Linked DNA regions of Rattus norvegicus. The protein of the gene in region 1 binds, or shares a complex with, the protein of each later gene. Links are inferred from orthologs where the notes say so. Each region holds a gene or a part of one and is shown in the gene's direction. Other genes may lie near its edges.

Region 1 (3,703 bases):
CTACATGTGTCCTAGGGCCTGCAAAGTCCCTGGCCCATGGTGCTGGCTTGTGGTTGTGGTGGTGGTGGTTGTGGTGGTGGTTGTTGATGTGGTGGTTGATGCTGATTTGAGACAAGTCCTGCTGCCTCAGGCTCCTGAGGGCTGCATTTGTAGACATGTGTAGTCAAGCCTGGCTGCTCTGTCCCCTTGTTTACTGTTGGATAGGGCCTGCCCTCATGACTCCTCTGACTGTCGTAGAGGCGGCTTCTGAGTCATCTCACCTTCCTGGGTGTCAGTTGCAGTTTGTGTTTGGGGAAGACACAAGTGCACATGGGGTTAGGCATGGTGACTTCTGTGCCTGCTTTGTCCCAGGCAGAGGGTACTGTTGGTCATCAGCCTCATGGCCCTTTTCACCTCTGTGACATTGTTGTCTGCTGTACCTACTCTGTGTGTGGGTGTCAAGCACTTTGGAATTCTGCTGGTGCTGTTAGAAACTCAGCTGTGCCCAGAGCCCTCAGAGGTGTGGCCCATCAGCGTAGACACTGAATTCTGCGCTATAACAGGACCCAGCAGGGAGCTCAGTGACGTCATTCCTAGACCTCTTATAGGTAAAGGTAGTTATCTTAGCTTCTGGGTACCCTAAGCATGCGGAAGAGGCAGTGGCTGGAATCTCCTTCAGGAAATGAGAAATACCCAAAGCCTCTGGCCAGGCCTCCTTTAATCTGGGCAGAGTTGGGTCACTAGGCTGCACCCCTTGTAGGGGAGGGCATTCACCAGCACTCGGGCTTCGGTGGCACTGCCCTGTTCTGTACTGGGCAGAACAGGAGAGGTTGTGTGTTGATGAGCAGCAGCTGCAGGCTGAGGGAACCTAGGTCCTGAGAAGAGAACCCAGGTAGCCAAAGCCAGTTCCCTGAGAGTCTGAGGAGGCACTCTGACTTCTTTTTTTTTTTAAAGATTTATTCATTTATTATATATAAGTACACTGTAGCTGTCTTCAGATACACCAGAAGAGGGCATCGGATCTCTTTACAGATGGTTGTGAGCCACCATGTGGTTGCTGGGAATTGAACTCATGACCTCTGGAAGAGCAGTCGGGTGCTCTTAACCGCTGAGCCATCTCTCCAGCCCGGCACTCTGACTTCTAAATGTCATGTTGCTGTTCCCTAATCCATGCTGGCAGATGTTGTGGCAGAGAGATAGAGAGACCCTTAAGGGTCTAACCCCATCTTTCTGGCATCCTTCCCAGCAGAGCCCTTTCCAGTGTGATTTGGGGAGGCAGTCCAGCGCTGTGCAGAAGTGAGACAAGGAGGTGGAGGGCCTAGTCAGGGTCTCCGTGGGTTTCTGATGTGGCCTGGTGTCTTCCCTCTCCTCAGTGGTCAGTGGGTGCTTCACTCTTCCTATGCCATTTGAATGCCCAGTTCATTGCCTGTCACTCAGTTTTTGTTTCTGGGGCAGATGCCAAGCAGACCTGCCCTCCTTAGCACTGTACAATGAAATGAGACCTCCCTACCTCTTGCCACAGGGCTTGTAGGGTTTTATAGAATGAGGAGGGCTATCCTGGTGTCCCTATGGTAGGCAGTTTCTGAAGCGTCTCTGCCCACAGGCCGGCTGCGTGCACTTCCCACATACAGCCCCGTGCGAGGTGCGCGTGCTCATGCTCCTGTACTCGTCTAAGAAGAAGATCTTCATGGGCCTCATCCCCTACGACCAGAGTGGCTTCGTCAATGGCATCCGCCAGGTCATCACCAACCATAAGCAGGTCCAGCAGCAGAAGCTAGAGCAGCAGCGTGGGGTGAGTGCGGGCCCAGCCAGCTAGTCACCATGGCCTCCTGTCTCCAGACATCTCCTTTGAGTCCCTTGTCCCTAGCAGAGCAGCTTTAGTCCCTTTTCAGTGTGCACTTCAAATTCCTGACACAAGACCCACCTTACAACCAGGCAGGGTGTCATGCCTCTCCAAGATGGTGTGCCCCCAGAAAAAGGCACCCTGCTTCTCTACACCAGGTCCTCCCTACAGTGTGAGTCACCTTCCCTCATCTGACCTGTCCTCTCTGTCCCCGTGCAGATGGGGGCACAGCAGGCACCTCCAGGCCTGGGCCCCATTCTGGAGGACCAAGCGAGGCCCCCGCAGAATCTAGTGAGGACTGAAGTGGGGACTGGTGGGGTTGGGGATGGAGGTGGGTGGACTTGGGGCAGCCACTGTACTGTCCTTCCTCATGCTCTCTGTTCCTCAGTTACAGCTCCGTGCACCACAGCCTCAGCCTCAGGGTGCTGTGGGAGCTTCTGCGGCTACAGGGCAGCCCCAGCCCCAAGGTACTACCCAGGCCCCAACAGGGGCACCCCAAGGTCCTCCTGGAGCAGCCCCTGGCCCACCTCCTTCTGGACCCATCCTTCGACCCCAGAACCCTGGAGCCAACCCCCAGCTGCGGAGCCTTCTCCTTAATCCAGCACCGGTGAGGCTTGGGATTAAAGCAGCAGGGAATGGCAGGTTCTCACCCAGTGTTTCTGGGAGGAAGTGGTGGACAAGGCTCCCAGGGTGGAGGACCTTCCTGGAGTTTAGACTGGGTCCTCTGAGTCATTCTTTGTCTTCTTCACTCAGCCCCAGACTGGGGTACCCCCACCCCAGGCCTCCCTACACCACCTCCAGCCTCCAGGGGCCCCTGCATTGCTGCCGCCACATCAGAGCCTGGGGCAGCCGCAGCTAGGGCCGCAACTCCTGCACCCTCCACCTACCCAGTCTTGGCCCACACAGCTACCCCAGAGGGCGCCACTGCCAGGTAAGGGGCTCCAGGGGAGGGCAGGGTTCTAGAGTGGGAGTCCCTGAAGTCACTGTTAAGGACCCTATTACCAAAGGGCCTCCCATAGCTCAAGGGGACTTAAAGGGCCATTGGGAAGTTCAGTACAGGAGCAAGGCTTCAGTGGTGGAAACTTCCCACAAACCTTATATTCTGTCCTGGGGTGCTGGAAGATGTCTTAGGGTTAGTGAAGCGATGCGTGTGGGGGAAGGGCTCCCGAAGGGTTAGAAAAGTGTCTATATCCAGTTGGGCTTAGAAGGACCTCTGGTGTTCCCTGGAGCTTCCTAGAAACCTTACTGCCTTGGGTTCTCAGAGGAAGTGGGATGAGAGGCCTAGGGCCCTCAATGGCCCCAGGGACCACTGGGAGATGCAGTCCCTTCCCGATGCCCCCCAGGTCAGATGCTGCTGAGCGGGGGTCCCCGGGGCCCGGTTCCCCAGCCGGGCCTGCAGCCCAGCGTCATGGAGGACGACATCCTCATGGACCTCATCTGAACCCAACACCCAATAAAGTTCCTTTTAACAATGCCCGGCTCCCGTCACTGACACCCCTAGGGCAGTCTTTGCTCTCGCCTTGCAGACTCCCCAAGGCCCCGGCTGGGTGATGCTGGGCCCTGGGGTGAGTTGGAGGCAGCATGGTGTGCCTGGTTCTGCGAGACTTGGAGGCAGGTGGGCAGGTAGTGTACAGCTCACGTGCACTTAAGGGGTTATGGAGCCCAGAATGCCTCTGACCCAGCCAGGGTTCCGAGGAGCCTGGAAGGAGAAGCAGTAATTGGGAGCCAGAAGGGACCTAGGTGCAGATAGCCAAAGCCACAGAAAAGGGGCGTGCAGGGCCAGGAGGTGGACGCTCCTGGGATGAGCATTTCAGGAAGGAGCCGGAGCTGCAGAGTCCAGACTGGGAAGCTGGAGATTGGTCCTGGGGATGCAGGACTGCA
Region 2 (4,909 bases), on another chromosome or scaffold:
CAGAATAAAATTCAAACTCTCCACTGGGATTTCCAAGACTCTATATGAATTGGCATATTCTCCACCCCCCCCCATTATACCACAATCTCATACACTGCTTTTTCTCTTCCATAAACATCTCCAATTTTTTTTTTAAAATGTACTGTGTAAAATGTACTTCCCTGTAGATCCTGATATGGCTTGCTGCTAACCCACACAATCTCAGACCAAGTGTCATCAGCAAGGCTTTCCCTGACCATGTTCTCGAAAGAGCGCCCTACTCGCTACCACAAGATAGATACCTTATCTTTCACAGGAATACAACAGAACATCGTCTTACTTTCTCTTCACTTGAGAAGATCTTAGTCTTTTCCACTGCTATAGCCGACAAGTTCTGACTGGTACCAAGCATGCTGTAGGTACTCAGTAACCATCCTCTGCCAATCTCACGCCCCAGACCAAGTGTCATGGCTGCTTCTTCACGTTCCCTCCCAAGATTAGTATTTTTTTTTCTCAATTGCCCTGCCCTTATTTTTCTAATAGCTCCTGACCTATTTTTTAAAGTGTAGATGGAATACTGTGTATAACAACTTAACACGAGAAAACTTATTATGAAATATAAATATTATTAAAGGGTAATTAACAATTTGTGAAAGATGATGCCTTGCTCTGTAGGTTTCAAGCAGGTATATGATCAGGCCAGTAGTCAAGAAACATGACAAATCTGGCCCCTCTTCGCAGATTTCAAGTCGTCAACACATTCTAGAGGGACCTAAGACTATAAAACTTACCTGGTGTAGAGACTCAAAGAATCTCTTTGTCCATCGTCTGGGTTTACACAGTACTACAAATCGGAAACCTTTCTGTGCTGGCTTCAGGTTAATAGTACGCTGGGTCAACAGCAGGATGGACTAAGGTGCTGCAATGTCAATACATGTTAACAGTGCCCAGAAACCACAGCCTGCTTCTTACACTGTTTTATGGGCTGTTTCCATGAAACCAAAGATACTTGGCTCTCCTGGAAGCTGGCTGGCAATTCCTCAGTCCTGGCTAAGGACCATGGCACTTCATCGAGTCATTCTGGCACTCTGCCGAGTGGCTTGCTTGTCTCGCCTGGCTGGGCTCTCTACGCGGTGCACAGTAGTCTCCACCCGCAGGGATGACGACGCCCTGACGTGGCGGGAGGACGTTTCCATGCACTGCGAGGAGGTTTCCACGTGCTGGGAGGACACCTCGAGGAATTGAGGGAGTCGCTTCGCGGAGGGGGTGAGGGAGGGTCCCTCTCGGTGGCGCTGGGAGGTCTCCACTTGCCGGGAAGACGTTAGAACCTGCCGGGAGGACGTCTCCACGCGGTGGGATGACGTTTCCTCGCGGTGGGACGACGTCTCCATGCGGACAGTCGATGTCTCCTTGTGGCGGGTGCTTTCCACTCGCGGGACGGAGGACTTGCTCCTAAGGGGCGAGGCCATCCTGCCCGTACACTTTGGTCAGGAGGAACAAAGAAGCCCAAGGATCATGCTCTGCGTCACGCCACCCGGGGGAAGGTGACGTCAGAGAGGTGTATTACATCAGAGTAGGCAGCAGGACTCAGACCTGAAATCAGAGAAGCCCTCCGGCACGCCCCGCTCGATATCTGCGCGCGCAGTCGGCCCGGTCCGCACAGATGGGCGGGGCCACTCTTCCCCAAAGTGAAGTTGTCCCCGCCCTCGTGTCCCACTCTGCCCCGCGACCGGAAGTAGGACCCGTGACTTCCGGATTCTCCTTCACCAATCCGGGCTGCGGTTGGGTCGGGTTGGTAGTGTTTGCGCCTTTCTGCTTGCTATGGCCGCGGCCGTCGCTATGGAGACAGGTGCGTTGTGTTTTGCACGGGAATGGTCCTTCGCCCCAAAATCCTCTCCCGTTTCCCTTCCCCTGCGCCGTCTTCCGGGCTCAACTCCTCATCCTTAGAGTTGGGACCGGCGGAGGAGAAGGCGGTGTTGCCCCCCAGAATATGGCCTGTAGGACCAACTTTGCTCCTGTGTTGCTCTAACCCCTACTCCAACCCTGACTCGCGGGGCGGGCCGGGGCGCATAGAAAGGACTGAGACCTTCCACTGTCTGCTCTTTGGAACTTCTCCAAACTTGCCTGAAATGTCGGTAACCTGTGTATTCTAATGCATATCACCGTCTTCTCTCCATTGTTTAATCATTCCTGCTTCGTTTTTGTGTAGCACTTTGTTTTTGCTTAACGTAATTAGTTGTGGTTATAACAACATAGGGAACCGTACAGCTATTGCAGACTATCCGATAATCTCCGCTCACGTCCTTCCACAGTGGCGTACAGGTTCTACATATTTTTTCCTCAACGAACTTTAAAGGATTTTTTTATTACTATTTTTGTTTTGGAAACAGGGCTCACTAAGTAGTGAATTAAACTAAATTTCTAAGGAAGTTTCTTCCACACTTTGATATTTGAGTTCATTCATGAGTGTGCATGTGTGTGTGTGTTTATGGGGGTGAGCGGCGGTGCATGCCAAGGTTAGAGGACAACTTGCAGAAATCGGTTGTCTTCCTACAACCCTGTAGGTTCCAGGAATCGAACTCAGGTCATCAGACTTTGCAGCAAGCACCTTTACTTGCTGAGCTGTTTGACCTGCGTTTTATTTTTGTTTCTACAAATCAATGTTTGTATTGTGACTTTTATTTTGGGTGATCGTTCCTTCCTTCTTTCTCTTTTTTTTTTTACTGTCTTTTCTCCTAGATGATGCTGGAAATCGACTTCGGTTTCAGTTGGAGTTGGAATTTGTGCAATGTTTAGCCAACCCAAATTACCTTAATTGTAAGTTAAGTACATCATTAACTTAAGTAGCTCACTAGATCTTAATGGTTTCTGAGAAGAGATGCAATTTGTAATAGTATTTATTTACTTCGATGTGTTTGGGGTTTTACTTGTGCTGGTCTGTAAGTATCAACTGAGCAAACAAGGGCTTGTGTTTTTTAATCCCTTGTGTTTTGTCGGTAGGGATGTTAAGAAGAGCTACTTTACTTAAGAGATTACAGATCAGCAGCCCAGCAGTGGTTGACATACAGAGTGTTTCTTTGTGTCTTTCAGTTCTCGCCCAAAGAGGTTACTTCAAAGACAAAGCTTTTGTTAATTATCTTAAGTACTTGCTTTACTGGAAAGAACCAGAATATGCCAAATATCTAAAGTAAGTTTAATTTTTAAAATCCCAAAGCTGTGTGTACTTTATTATAAATACTAAGTGCTATTATTTAGCAGTTTTCTCGGTGTCAGAATGGAAAACAGCATTTGGGATCTTTCTGCTTTTAGTTGATGTAAGACGCTGTTATCTCTAACTTGGGTTGATTATGACAGGAATTTCATTTATTTCTGCTACCATTCTTACCTCACTCCCTTCAAACAAAACCAAAGAACTGTCTACGTGGGAGCCAGCTTACTCTCTTGGCAGTGTAAGTCAGAGCATACTGTTCGTGCAGGCTAAGATCCAGTGAACTGTTGTAGACTACAGTTCTAATGTAATTTGGTCGTGTCTAACCATGTCACTTAGCACTGCCCCTGTCTTTCTGGGGTTTTGAGGCCTAACAACCCATAACCTGTGACGGTAGGAAGAACTGTTTCCTGAGAGTCTTAGAGGTCCTGCCTTTCTTTGTGGTGTCCTTTGTTTCAATCACTGTGCGTATTAACTCACTGTAAAAGAACAGACACAACAATATCACATCAAACTCTGCTTTGACTTAAAAAGAGAAAAGAAAGCCAAGCTGGCTTTAATCCCAACATTTGGGAGGCAGAGGCGGGCGCATGTGTGAGTTCAAGGCCAGAGCTGCTTCCAGGACAGCCACTCTACCCAGGTAAACCCTGTCTAGACACTGCCCCAAAGGAGGGGACAACAACAAAAACCCCAGAAGTAGCTTGGTGTCCCTTTAATCCCAGCTCTCAAGAGGCAGAGTCAGGCAGATCTCCGTGAATTTGAGGCCAGCCTGATTATGTTGCAAGCTTCAGGCCATTCAGGGCCACACAGAGAGACCCTATTTTAAAAATTAGAGGAAAACATTTCAAACCTTTTTTTTTTTTTTAATCGTAGTCATTTTTCTGACTTGATTCCTGGGCTGCCTGTAGATTTGCTCTTCATGATGCAATTCTAGATTCCTCTAGGAATCCAAATGATAGGCTTGAAATTACTATTAGAAAAGTATGGGGTTGGGGATTTAGCTCAGTGGTAGAGCGCTTGCCTAGGAAGCACAAGGCCCTGGGTTCAGTCCCCAGCTCCGAGAAAAAAAAAAAAAAGAAAAAAAAAAAAAGAAAGAAAAGTATAACATGTTACATGTTAGCAAACTTTTAGCCACCTTCAAGCTCAGTCTCTCCAGCCCAGCTGTTGAAAGATGATTGTCTCCGCTCTGTTGGAGGCTCCCTATGATCATAGGTCCCTCTACTATTAGAGGCAGCTTACTCCATTGATAGCCAGAGGTAAGGGAGCTCTTCTTATATACTCTGATCAAATACACCTCCTTGTAGCTCTAAGCCGTTTGTAGGCTTGTTCCTTATTCTGTTCATCTGTGTCCTCTTGGAGGTAACAGCTATAGATGTTTAAATTCGAGAGAAGTTGTGAAATAACTCCACTATATCTTGCATAATGTTCTGAATAACATGGTAGGAGTGATTTTACCAAAGGTACCATAGTAGTAGAAATGGTGGGCTTGAGATCATTTTTAGGGGAGTATCTGATTTAGAACTTGGGATGCCTTAAATTATGTTGATAATTGACTTATGAACTTAAACCCAGGTACCCTCAGTGTTTGCATATGTTAGAACTGCTCCAATATGAACACTTTCGAAAGGAGCTGGTGAATGCTCAGTGTGCGAAGTTCATTGACGAACAGCAGATTCTGCACTGGCAGCACTATTCGAGGAAGCGGATGCGTCTTCAGCAAGC
Region 3 (4,732 bases), on another chromosome or scaffold:
TGGTGGGATTTGAAGCTGTTCTCTTCAGAGGGCCTAATGAAATCATAGGGCAAATCTTAAGAGGCACCTGGCAGAGTTGTAATTTATAAAGTAAGATTCCAGAGTACAGGAATAGAAATAAGTAGGGTATCTGGTGCTCTTTTGTTTTGAGTTAGGGTCTAACTATGTAGTCCTGATGGATCTAGAAAGCCCTATATAGATCAGGCTTACATCAATCTTACAGAAGTCACCTGCCTTTGTCTCTAGAGTGCTGGGTTAAAATGGTACAACCCAAAGCCCCGCAACAGTATTGTATCTTTAATGTAAACAAAGTTAATAATCTTGTTTGAGAGTCCCAGAACATGTGAGGCCTACCCAAGGTTATATTAATACCTTTAGTCCTGGTCATTGCTGTTATAGCATAAATATCTGTATATGAAAAAAAAATATTAGCTCTATGTCCACAACCTTCACGGTAAATGTTAACTGTTCTTAAATATTGCTTCTTAGATGGTTGATGGGCTTCCCCCCACCTCGTATTTTTGTAACCTTCCCTGTTTTCCTATCCCACCTCAGGAAGATAGTGCGCACAGTTGTTATGCCCAGAGCAGACGATTTTTCCACCAAAGTCATTTATTTTGTTGAGTCAGTGACCTATGTCTGCCGGTCTATCAGAGAATTGATTAAGGTTAGACAGCACTTAGTGAACGCTGTGTTACCTTGAAAAATCGCCTAACTACACTGTGATCACTTCGTTAAAAATTAGAAAAATTTAAATGGTATTTCTACCACGGGCCTAGTCTTCGTCAGTGGCGCCCCAAGGAACTTGGAATCACAGAAGAATATTGTTCATCTGTGATGGAAACCCTGGAATCTGTTTCTCCATCTTTAACACGAAGGTAAGGACTAGATAACGGCCTAGGCTCTCCACTCAAGTGTGTAAGCTACACTCGAAACCCGCCCTCCCATCTTCACATGCACCTGCAGGGCAGGGATGGATGGTCAAGGTCGACAGCTACTAAGGCAGGGGGCGCTCACCCAGTCAAAGTCACACGGGTTGCCATCTTCGCGCTGCGTGGGGAGACCGTTGCAAATCGGCGGCAGCTTCCTCACGAGGAGGAAAGCAATGGAAAGCAGGGCAGACAGAAGGCAATAAGGTCTGGCCAGCCATCGAGAAAGCCGCGGCACCGAGTACACCAAGGCAATCAGAGGCGCGAGGACAGCCATCTTCCCTGCCTACACTCTTGCAGGCTCACTCCCGCTCCCCAAATCGTCGTCCTCCGCCCCCAACAGCAAGGCTTCTATTGGGCCAAATATCAGATGCAACGCCTCCAGACCCGGATGTAGATCTCTTATTGGGTGCTATAATAGATCGGAAAATGAATTAGATAGTCTATTGGTCCTCATAATTGTCGCTTTTCTACCTGAGTCATTTTATTGGCTATTAGTCTGTGAAACACTACCTGAACAATCTCTCAGGGCAAAGGAAGTAAGTTGCCGGAAGATGGTGGGCGGAGCTTAGCGTATCCAATGATGGGAAGCTGTTAAACCAAGAGGGTGGTACCCTGTGAAAGTGCTGTCCAATGAAAGTAATTAACGCCAGATCCCGGGTAACCAAGAGCGGCGAGTGCTATGGAGAACTTCACAGCCCTGTTCGGAGCTCAAACTGACCCCCCACCGCCACCAAGCGCACTAGGGTTCGGGCCTGGAAAGCCTCCGCCGCCACCCCCTCCTCCTCCGGGAGGTGGTCCAGGCACGGCTCCACCTTCGACCGCGACCTCGGCCCCCGTGGGAGCGGATAAGTCCACGGCTGGAAGCGGTCCCTTCTACCTTATGCGGGAATTGCCAGGTGAGTAGTGGGCCAAAAGTAGCCAATCAGATAATAGTTTAGGTGACCGTTGTGGCTAGCATCCTGCAGCGCAAGGTGTAAGATAACAGGGCTACGGGTGGCCAGTGGGCAACAGTGTCAGAAGCCCTTTGGCGATTCACAACTCTAAAAGATAACTTGATTTCCCGGGGTGGGTTTGGGTTGGGTGTGAATATCTGGGACTACCTCTAGCGAGAAGTTCTGTGATCCGGGTTCTCTAACCGCTGTTTGTGACTCTATGAAAACGAGCCATTGTTTGGAACTCGGGAGACCTGATTTAACGTTTCTGGAGACAGTAAGATTTTAGTTTAAAGTCTGTCACAAACTTGTTGGTTTATAGCAAGTTGCCTTCCTCGTCAGGGACTTGGAGATTAACCCGCTCAAAGAAAGGACTAGAATTGAATCAATTCTTACATTCATAAAGTTAGTTATTCGGGAAAATTGGGGGGGGGCGTGGCTCAGTGGTAGAACTCTTGACTGCCATGCATAAGGCGCGTGTTCACAGAATCATCTCTGAGTAGGTAACATTCAAGAATAAACAAAGCCATCGGTCCTTGGACAGAGAGAAGATACTAGATAGAAGAAACTACATCAGGAGACCTGTTTTGGAGGGGAAGATGGGGGGGGGGGTGCTTAGAATATCTGAGGGGCAGAAGACACATTGAATTCAAGGAAAGGAACAATTCCAGTACTGATGGAAAATAGGTAGAGGCCTTTATAAGGCAATGTAGGTTTAAAGTTCAAGTTGAAGTCAATTTCAACATGGGGGGGGGGGGGAATGAGCTAATTTAGTGATTTTTTTTTTTAAAAAGATATTCAGCAGAAACATAAGTGAAAATGGGGTAATCAGAAATCAGTGTTCCTAAAAGAGAATGGTTTGGACCAGGACTTAGCAGTAGAGAAGCAAATGAATACAGGATACATGATAAAGGTGAAGCCTACAGAAATAAAGAACTAAATATAAACAGAGGAATTGTGGGTGTTCTGTACAAAGGTTATAGTAGTCTGAGAGTAGGAAGTTATGGAAAGAAAAAATTTGAAGAGCTAAAAATCAAGAGGTGTTCTGGATATGTTAAATCTTAGGGAACTTGTGGTACTATATACCAGCACTCAGGAGGTGAAGGCAGAAGGTTCTGGAGTTCCAGCCCAGCCTAGAGGACATGAGATCCTGCTTCAAAAAAAGAAAAATAGAAGTTCAGTTATCCCAATTAGCTATTAGCACAGTAGTTTAAAGTTCACATCAGTGAGGTGTGTACAATATGTAGCCCTTTTAGATAGATAGGTATTATATTTTATAGTTGAGGACTGAAGCATAAAGAAATAACTATATGTGCTTTAATGACAGGTGTCTTCCAGAAGTTCTCTTTTTCCTTATTTTAGTTGTTTTGCCTCACTATGTAGCCCTGGCTTGTCTCAAATTCACTGTAGACTTGGCTGGCCTTGAACTCACAGAGATCCACTTAATCTCAGCCTTCAGGTATGTGCCACCATGCCCAGCTTCTTCCAGCAGTTTATCTTTTGCATTTCCTGTTCTGATTATGCCATTTATATATAAATCAGTTGATAAATACTGAATCTCCGAGGCAAACGCTGGGTATGGTGGGATTCTGAGAAGGGGAGATTATTAAGCCGGGTTTTTACGTAGCTTACTTTTTGAGATCCATAATACATGGTTTAAGGATGGTGCTTGTATCTTTGTGGGTGTCTGTTTACTACTTTATAGTCATGCTTCACACAGGAAGCAGTGTTTAAAACTACCTGATGGTTTTCAAAATGTGTTAGCCAAAATGACAGCAATAATAAGATGTCATTTGAACTGAACTCTGAAGAATTTATATAGGCAAACAAAATTAGAAAGTTATTTTCTCAAAGGAAATAGTGGTACAGTTTTGTTGCTGTTTTCTACCCAGAGGATACGTAGATCTATCTGGATACATTAGAAATTTTGCAGGAAGATTAGTAGTTGATCAGGCTCCAAAGTTAAGTTGTAATAAAATTTGATTAGGAAGGCTAGGGATGTAGTTTAGTTGGAAGAGTACATGCTTAGCATGCATAAAGACCTCTATATTCATTCTCCATACTTGACAAACCGGGCTTGATGGTATATTTCTATAATCCCAGCCCTTGGGAGATGTACACAGGAAGATCAGGAGCCCAAGGTCATTGCTGGCTACATGAGACCTTGCCTTGAAAAGGTCCATTGGAACTGTAAAGATGACTCTAAGGTCATGCAGTTAAGGACATTTGATGTTGTCCAAAGGACCAAGCTTGGTTCCCATAATCCATATGGGAGCCTCACAATTGTATGTAACTCCAGCTCCAGGGATCCCAACACCCTCTACTGACCTCCATAGGCACTCAAATAATATGTGGCATACATCCACACAACACAACACACACACACGCGCACGCGCACACACACACACGCACACACACCAAATAGGATAAAAATAAATCTTTCAGGATAAATCAAGAGGCAGGTTGATCTCTCAGTTCAAGGCTAACTTGGTCTACCTAGTGAGTTCCAAGTCATCCAAGACTTTAGAGAGAGACTCTATATCAAAAAAAATTTAAAATTTTAAAAAATTATTAGATTCTAGTACCATGGGAATTTAAATAGAGGTTATTTAAATAGAGCACCCCCATGCTTAAAATCACACTCAAGACCTTCCACAAGCTACATAAGCACCTAAGCACTGTACCACTGGTTTTTGTTTCTAAAACTACAGAACATGAGTTCTCAGGTTTGGAATAGAGGGGCCATAATGATGTAAACAATATTTAGACTTTCAAGAAAGGAAAAAAAATGAATCTGCATAGAATTGACATAGAAAGAGTTGGGAATTCAAAATTTGGTTTTTAGAATCATGCCCCCCCCCTTTTATG
Region 4 (4,847 bases), on another chromosome or scaffold:
TTGAAGCAGGGAGGCACAACCAAAACACCTAGCACCAGCCAGTAGTGGGCTCTTTTGTGACCCCTGCCTGACCCCTCCAGGTTTCAGCTCTGAAGAGGGTGGCTGGTCCTCTCTAGGACTCTGCTGACCTCCCCAGGGCACTTTTGTTTTGTGTGTGTGTGTGTGTGTGTGTTTGCGCGCGCGCGCGTGTGTGTGTGTGTGTTTGCGCGTGTGTGTGAGAGTGCGTGCGAGCACATGTATGCACGCCATGTGCCCGTGAACCTGGACAAGCTTCGTCCCAAGGGCTCATTTTATGCTTTCTTTTTTGGTGACGTGTGTATTATGTCCCCAGCTCCCTGCCTGCCTTTCAGACGGTCCCCTCTCCTCCTCCTCCCTTACACCAGGGGTCCAGGACTTCCAGCCAGAAGCCTCTGACCTTGTGTACCCTGTCCCCCTCCTCTGTCCCCTCTGCTGCCTGGCGTAGCTGTGGTCACGCAGAGTCCTCCCTTCCCCTTCCGTGTGACTCTTTGTGCTTGGGGAAAGGGACACTTTTAATAAAGCCTTGGTGCTCGGGCCTGCTGTGTGCTTATTTTTGGGGTTGGTGGGGTGGGAGAGATGAGACTAGGTCACTGAGGCTGGAGATCTGGACGTGGAGGAACCTCAAGTCTTGATGCGTTAGTTCATTTTACAACATGTAAAATGCATAAAGATGGGTGCCAGGCTGGGGTTTGGTGGGGAAAGCATTGGCTACCATGCTCAAAGCCCTGGTCCCATCTCCAATACCACATAAACCGTTACATGTGACCAATGGGTCAAGTGAGTTTCAGGCCAGCCTGGGCCATATGGGACAGACAAGTCTGATGTTGGACACCTTCAATCCCAGCACTCAGGAGCCAGAGGCTGATGGATATCTGAGTGCAAGGTCTACATAGCCAGGGCCACACAGTGACCCTGCCTCATACAAACAAAAGCCACTTGAGGGCCAACAAAATGGCTAAGCGGGTTAAGGTGCTTGCTGGCAAGTTCAGCAATCTGAGGAAGGAAAGAACTAATTCCGGGTCCTTTGACCTGCACTGTGGCAGGCATGTCACCCCCACCCCCCACCCCCACCCCCACCCCCACCCCCACCCCCACCCCCACCCCCACCCCCACCCCCACCCCCACCCCCAACGGTGTAAGTAAGTCCATGGCCAGGTGATGCACTTCTGACACCCCAGCAGGTAGAAGCTGTTACAGGAGAACCTCATCAGTGGGAGGCCAACCTGAGCTACAATGAGCCCTTCTGTCGAGAAACAAAATGGGAAAAACGTGTGCGGGCCTTCGTAGGACGTTATGCTGTATGCCAGTTATGCTGTATGCCAGTTCCTCTGAGAGGGCAAAATATGGAACGCTTCACGAATTTGCGTGTCATCCTTGCGCAGGGGCCATGCTAATCTTCTCTGTATCGTTCCAATTTTAGTATATGTGCTGCCGAAGCGAGCACGAACTACGGGCTTACCCAAGACATATTTATAGGCTCAAAATTGAGCTACTTCGCACTTAGGGTGAGTTTTCTCTGAAGGAATAGTATTTGTCCTGCTTATATAGTTAAGCCTTTCTATAAGATCTAGCCAATCATTCGAAAGAACAGATTATTTGTCTTTTATCGCACGTGTAGCCTCAATAATTACTAGGAAATTATTATATGCAAATTAACCGGGGCAGGGGCGTAGTCCGGTTCCCAGAAGTCTGTTCGAGGGGGCCGGCGCGGGCCGAGAAATGGCGGCGCCGGATCCCGGGCGTTGGGGCGAGTGTGGACCGCGGCCGCCCGGTCGGCTGGGCGCCCGGGGCGGACAGGTCAGTGCGGAGTGCGGGGTATGGGACTCCTGGCTGGTGCATTTCTGGCTTGGCCCGCGAGCGGAAGGCCGAGGGGCGGGGCCTGCGGGGTCAGAGGGCGGGCCTGGGAACAAAGCTTGCTGGGTAGAGGCCGGTGAGGGGGAGATGTGATTAGGTTCCCCGCTTAAGGTGAAGCCTGAGGCAACTAGGCTGGGGAGGGGGCGTGGTCCGAGGGGCTGAGACTCCCTGGGAGGGGCGTGGCCTGAGGTTCCGAAGTTGAGCGAAGGGGCGGAGCCTGAAGCAATAAGTCTGATAGAGAAGGCGGTGGGCTAAGGAGCGGAGCCTAAGGTGGGTCGGGGTTAGGGACTGAAGATCTGAGACTGATGCAGAGGGGTTGGTGACCTGATAGTCACAAACTGAAGAGAAGCGGGGGATGAATAAAGTTAGTAGTTTTGTTTGGAAGCAGAGCCTAGTGTGATTAGATAGTGTGGGTGGAGCTTAACGAGCTTGGGCGGGACGCGGTGAAGCACGTGTGTTAAGCCTCAGGTGGGCCTTGGATGTTAACTTATTGCGAGTGGGACTAATGGGCTGGGACGCGGCCTGAGCTACTAGGTTCCGGGGCAAGTCTCTGGAGTGTAGACTGAGGCCCAGACTGAAGTGGTAGGAGTGGGCCTGGTTGTGTGTGTGAGGGTGCTTAGCACTTGTAGGCTGAGCTCACAGCGATCTGGGTGGGTGATAGGTGGCCTAGGGAGGGGTGACCTCAGGTGGGGCATCATGGAATTTCTAGCAGGGCTCGAGCTGGAGAACATTCTAGACCCACTTTAGCCGGGAGCTGCTATAGAGCATGCCTCCCTTCTCCCCAGGAGCCAGGGACGGTGCTGGGTGCGGTGGGTATGATGGACCTAGCCTATGTGTGCGAATGGGAGAAGTGGGCCAAGAGCACGTACTGCCCGTCGCTGCCCCTGGCCTGCGCCTGGTCCTGCAGGAACCTCATTGCCTTCACCACAGACCTACGCAATGATGACCAGGGTAAGTGCTAGTTCTGTTTCCCTGACTGGGACCTGGGGATTGAGACCAAGTGGGTGGGCTGTGATTTCCTCATACAATGGGTCCCGATTTGGTAGGTTCATGGTGGCAGAGCCAGGCTCTCCATTGCCAGCTACAGGGTTTAGAGAGGCCTGGGAAAGCAAGGTGGGAGAAGAGACATCCACACTTTGGTCACCATCCTCCAAATCTAGTGATAGTGCCTCTGGAGAGACACTGGCTGCACTGGATACCCTGTGTAGGGATTAGCAGCATGGGGGAGGGGTGTTATAGGAGAGGGGCAATGGGGGTGGGAATCATGGGCACTGTGGACCACACTGACCTCAGTGTTCTCTTTCCTGCAGACCTCACACACATGATTCATATCCTTGACACAGAACATCCCTGGGAAGTGCACTCTGTCAGCTCTGGCCACAGTGAGGCCATCACCTGCCTGGAATGGGACCAGTCAGGTGAGGCCATGAGGTTTGCTCTCAATCCAAAGCCCAGGACAGCATATGCCACCTTCCTCAGTCATCAGTCCTAAGTCTGGAGCCTGGGGACAGCCACTGCCCACTGGGAGTCCAGAGTGGGGAGGGGACACCGAGCAGTTTACCTGCCCATCAGAAGGGCTCCTGACACAGCTCTTTCATCACAGGGTCCCGGCTCCTGTCTGCCGATGCTGACGGGCAGATCAAATGTTGGAGCATGGCTGACCACCTGGCCAACAGCTGGGAGAGCTCCGTGGGCAGCCAGGTGGAAGGGGACCCCATCGTGGCTCTGTCCTGGCTGCATAACGGGGTGAAACTGGCACTGCACGTAGAGAAGGTGAGTGTACCACTGGGGGACCAAGGGGTACATGGAACGGAACCAGGGGCTGGCATGTGCTGTGAGTACCTGTGGGTTACTGCTGTCCCCGAGAGCCTCTAACCCTGAGCCTCCCTTTCAGCTATGGCCCCTGGACAGGGAGTCTGTTTAACAGATGTCTGCGTCTGCAGTGCTGTCTTACAAACATCCTCAGACCCCAGAATCCTCCTGTCTGTCTATATTCTGGAGTTCAGCCACTTAGGAGCGGGGACAGAGTTGGACTCTAAGTCCTTTTCCCTTAGTAAGGGAGGGGAAGTGGCAGCCTGTGGGTCAGGAAGCACAACCAAAATTCAGTTCCATGATTGCTACAGGTTTTTGGAGCCTAACGGCTTTCACATTGCCTCTCATCCCCAATTCTAGTACTTAGGAGGCAGACAGCTCTCTCTGAGCTCAAGACCAGCCTGGTCTACATATCCAGGTCCAGGGCAGCCAGGGCTACACAGTGATACTTGTTCTCCAAATTTAATGTAAGGGCTAGAGAGGTAGGTGGCTCAGTGGTAGGAGTACCAGCTGCTCCTGCAGAGGACCTGGGTACATTCCCAGCCCCTCCATGGCGACTCACAGCCATCTGTAACTCCAGCTCCAAGGGACTCCGTGGGCATAAGCTCTTTGCAACCTAGTCCTCTAGCCCAGCAGAGGCAGCGGAAGAGAAAAGCTGTTAGGCTATGGGGGAAGTGGACCTGATGAGCAGTAGCTCTTTGAGGGTGAGCTAGCAGTGGTTCAGTCCCGCAGCAAACACCAAATAGGACTTAGCAGGCAGACACCAGGCACGAACCAGCAGCTGTAGTTCAATCCTGAAGAAAAACACCAGGAACCTCAGGAGCAGTTCTTGGCTGACTTTCTCTCAGTGACAGCGTTACCACAGCATTGAGCTCAACGATGCCATGTAAGGTAAACTAATGCATGCGTGTCTTTAGTGAAGAATCGTGAGGCAGAGCAAATCAAACCACAGCTCAGTGCCCGTCTCCCACTGTCTGTGAGGTCATAGTTCTACTCCTTCATTGTGGGTTCTTTACCATGTTTGCTATAGCAAATCATCCTTTCCCCCGTGTCTGCTTTAGCGAGACATCCTTTCTCCTGTTTGCTCCATCCAAACATCATTTGCCATAACTAACTTTCCAAAGAACTAGAAGTTCCCACTTGAGGACCCTACACCTTTCTCT

Evidence for each region.
Region 2: Med25 (region 1) and Med31 share a complex: the UniProt entries of both Homo sapiens proteins name them as parts of the mediator complex. The link is inferred for Rattus norvegicus from reciprocal best matches to the Homo sapiens genes MED25 and MED31.
Region 3: Med25 (region 1) and Med19 share a complex: the UniProt entries of both Homo sapiens proteins name them as parts of the mediator complex. The link is inferred for Rattus norvegicus from reciprocal best matches to the Homo sapiens genes MED25 and MED19.
Region 4: the proteins of Med25 (region 1) and Med16 are in contact, whole or in part, in a cryo-EM structure (PDB 7EMF), measured with the Homo sapiens proteins. The link is inferred for Rattus norvegicus from reciprocal best matches to the Homo sapiens genes MED25 and MED16. Residues at the interface, in NP_112235.2 of Homo sapiens: Ala26, Asn27, Gly29, Pro30, Tyr31, Val74, Asp75, Cys76, Ala77, Pro78, Glu79, Val82, Cys84, His85, Pro87, Lys102, Phe103, Met104, Gly105, Gly106, Gly107, Gly108, Glu109, Thr120, Gln123, Leu124, Asp127, Phe128, Tyr151, Leu152; in NP_005472.2 of Homo sapiens: Cys41, Arg42, Ser92, Ser94, His113, Arg161, Lys163, Phe171, Gly172, Gly173, Lys174, Pro195, Gly485, Tyr486, Ala516, Ala517, Gln520, Val521, Thr524, Arg525, Ile554, Ala555, Ser558, Lys561, Ser562, Leu563, Leu564, Arg565, Pro566, His567.

The regions. Positions count from the first base shown.
Region 1 is NC_086019.1:104,498,778-104,502,480, reverse strand, and holds part of Med25 (mediator of RNA polymerase II transcription subunit 25), read left to right. Parts: intron 1-1,582; coding exon 1,583-1,771; exon of another isoform or gene 1,772-2,035; intron 2,036-2,041; coding exon 2,042-2,113; intron 2,114-2,210; coding exon 2,211-2,429; intron 2,430-2,575; coding exon 2,576-2,753; intron 2,754-3,165; coding exon of another isoform or gene 3,166-3,263; exon of another isoform or gene 3,264-3,296; intron 3,297-3,703. UniProt on the Homo sapiens protein: Component of the Mediator complex, a coactivator involved in the regulated transcription of nearly all RNA polymerase II-dependent genes.
Region 2 is NC_086028.1:57,335,725-57,340,633, reverse strand, and holds the start of Med31 (mediator of RNA polymerase II transcription subunit 31), read left to right. Parts: upstream 1-1,744; 5' UTR 1,745-1,800; coding exon 1,801-1,828; intron 1,829-2,718; coding exon 2,719-2,796; intron 2,797-3,069; coding exon 3,070-3,166; intron 3,167-4,759; coding exon 4,760-4,909. Other genes in the region: C10h17orf100 (uncharacterized protein C17orf100 homolog), read right to left, coding at 1,047-1,448. UniProt on the Homo sapiens protein: Component of the Mediator complex, a coactivator involved in the regulated transcription of nearly all RNA polymerase II-dependent genes.
Region 3 is NC_086021.1:90,167,262-90,171,993, forward strand, and holds the start of Med19 (mediator of RNA polymerase II transcription subunit 19), read left to right. Parts: upstream 1-1,567; 5' UTR 1,568-1,611; coding exon 1,612-1,828; exon of another isoform or gene 1,829-2,017; intron 2,018-4,732. Other genes in the region: Tmx2 (thioredoxin-related transmembrane protein 2 precursor), read right to left, coding at 1,018-1,206. UniProt on the Homo sapiens protein: Component of the Mediator complex, a coactivator involved in the regulated transcription of nearly all RNA polymerase II-dependent genes.
Region 4 is NC_086025.1:10,447,591-10,452,437, forward strand, and holds the start of Med16 (mediator of RNA polymerase II transcription subunit 16), read left to right. Parts: upstream 1-1,682; 5' UTR 1,683-1,737; coding exon 1,738-1,815; intron 1,816-1,997; exon of another isoform or gene 1,998-2,142; intron 2,143-2,581; exon of another isoform or gene 2,582-2,657; coding exon 2,658-2,823; intron 2,824-3,182; coding exon 3,183-3,290; intron 3,291-3,475; coding exon 3,476-3,645; intron 3,646-4,847. UniProt on the Homo sapiens protein: Component of the Mediator complex, a coactivator involved in the regulated transcription of nearly all RNA polymerase II-dependent genes.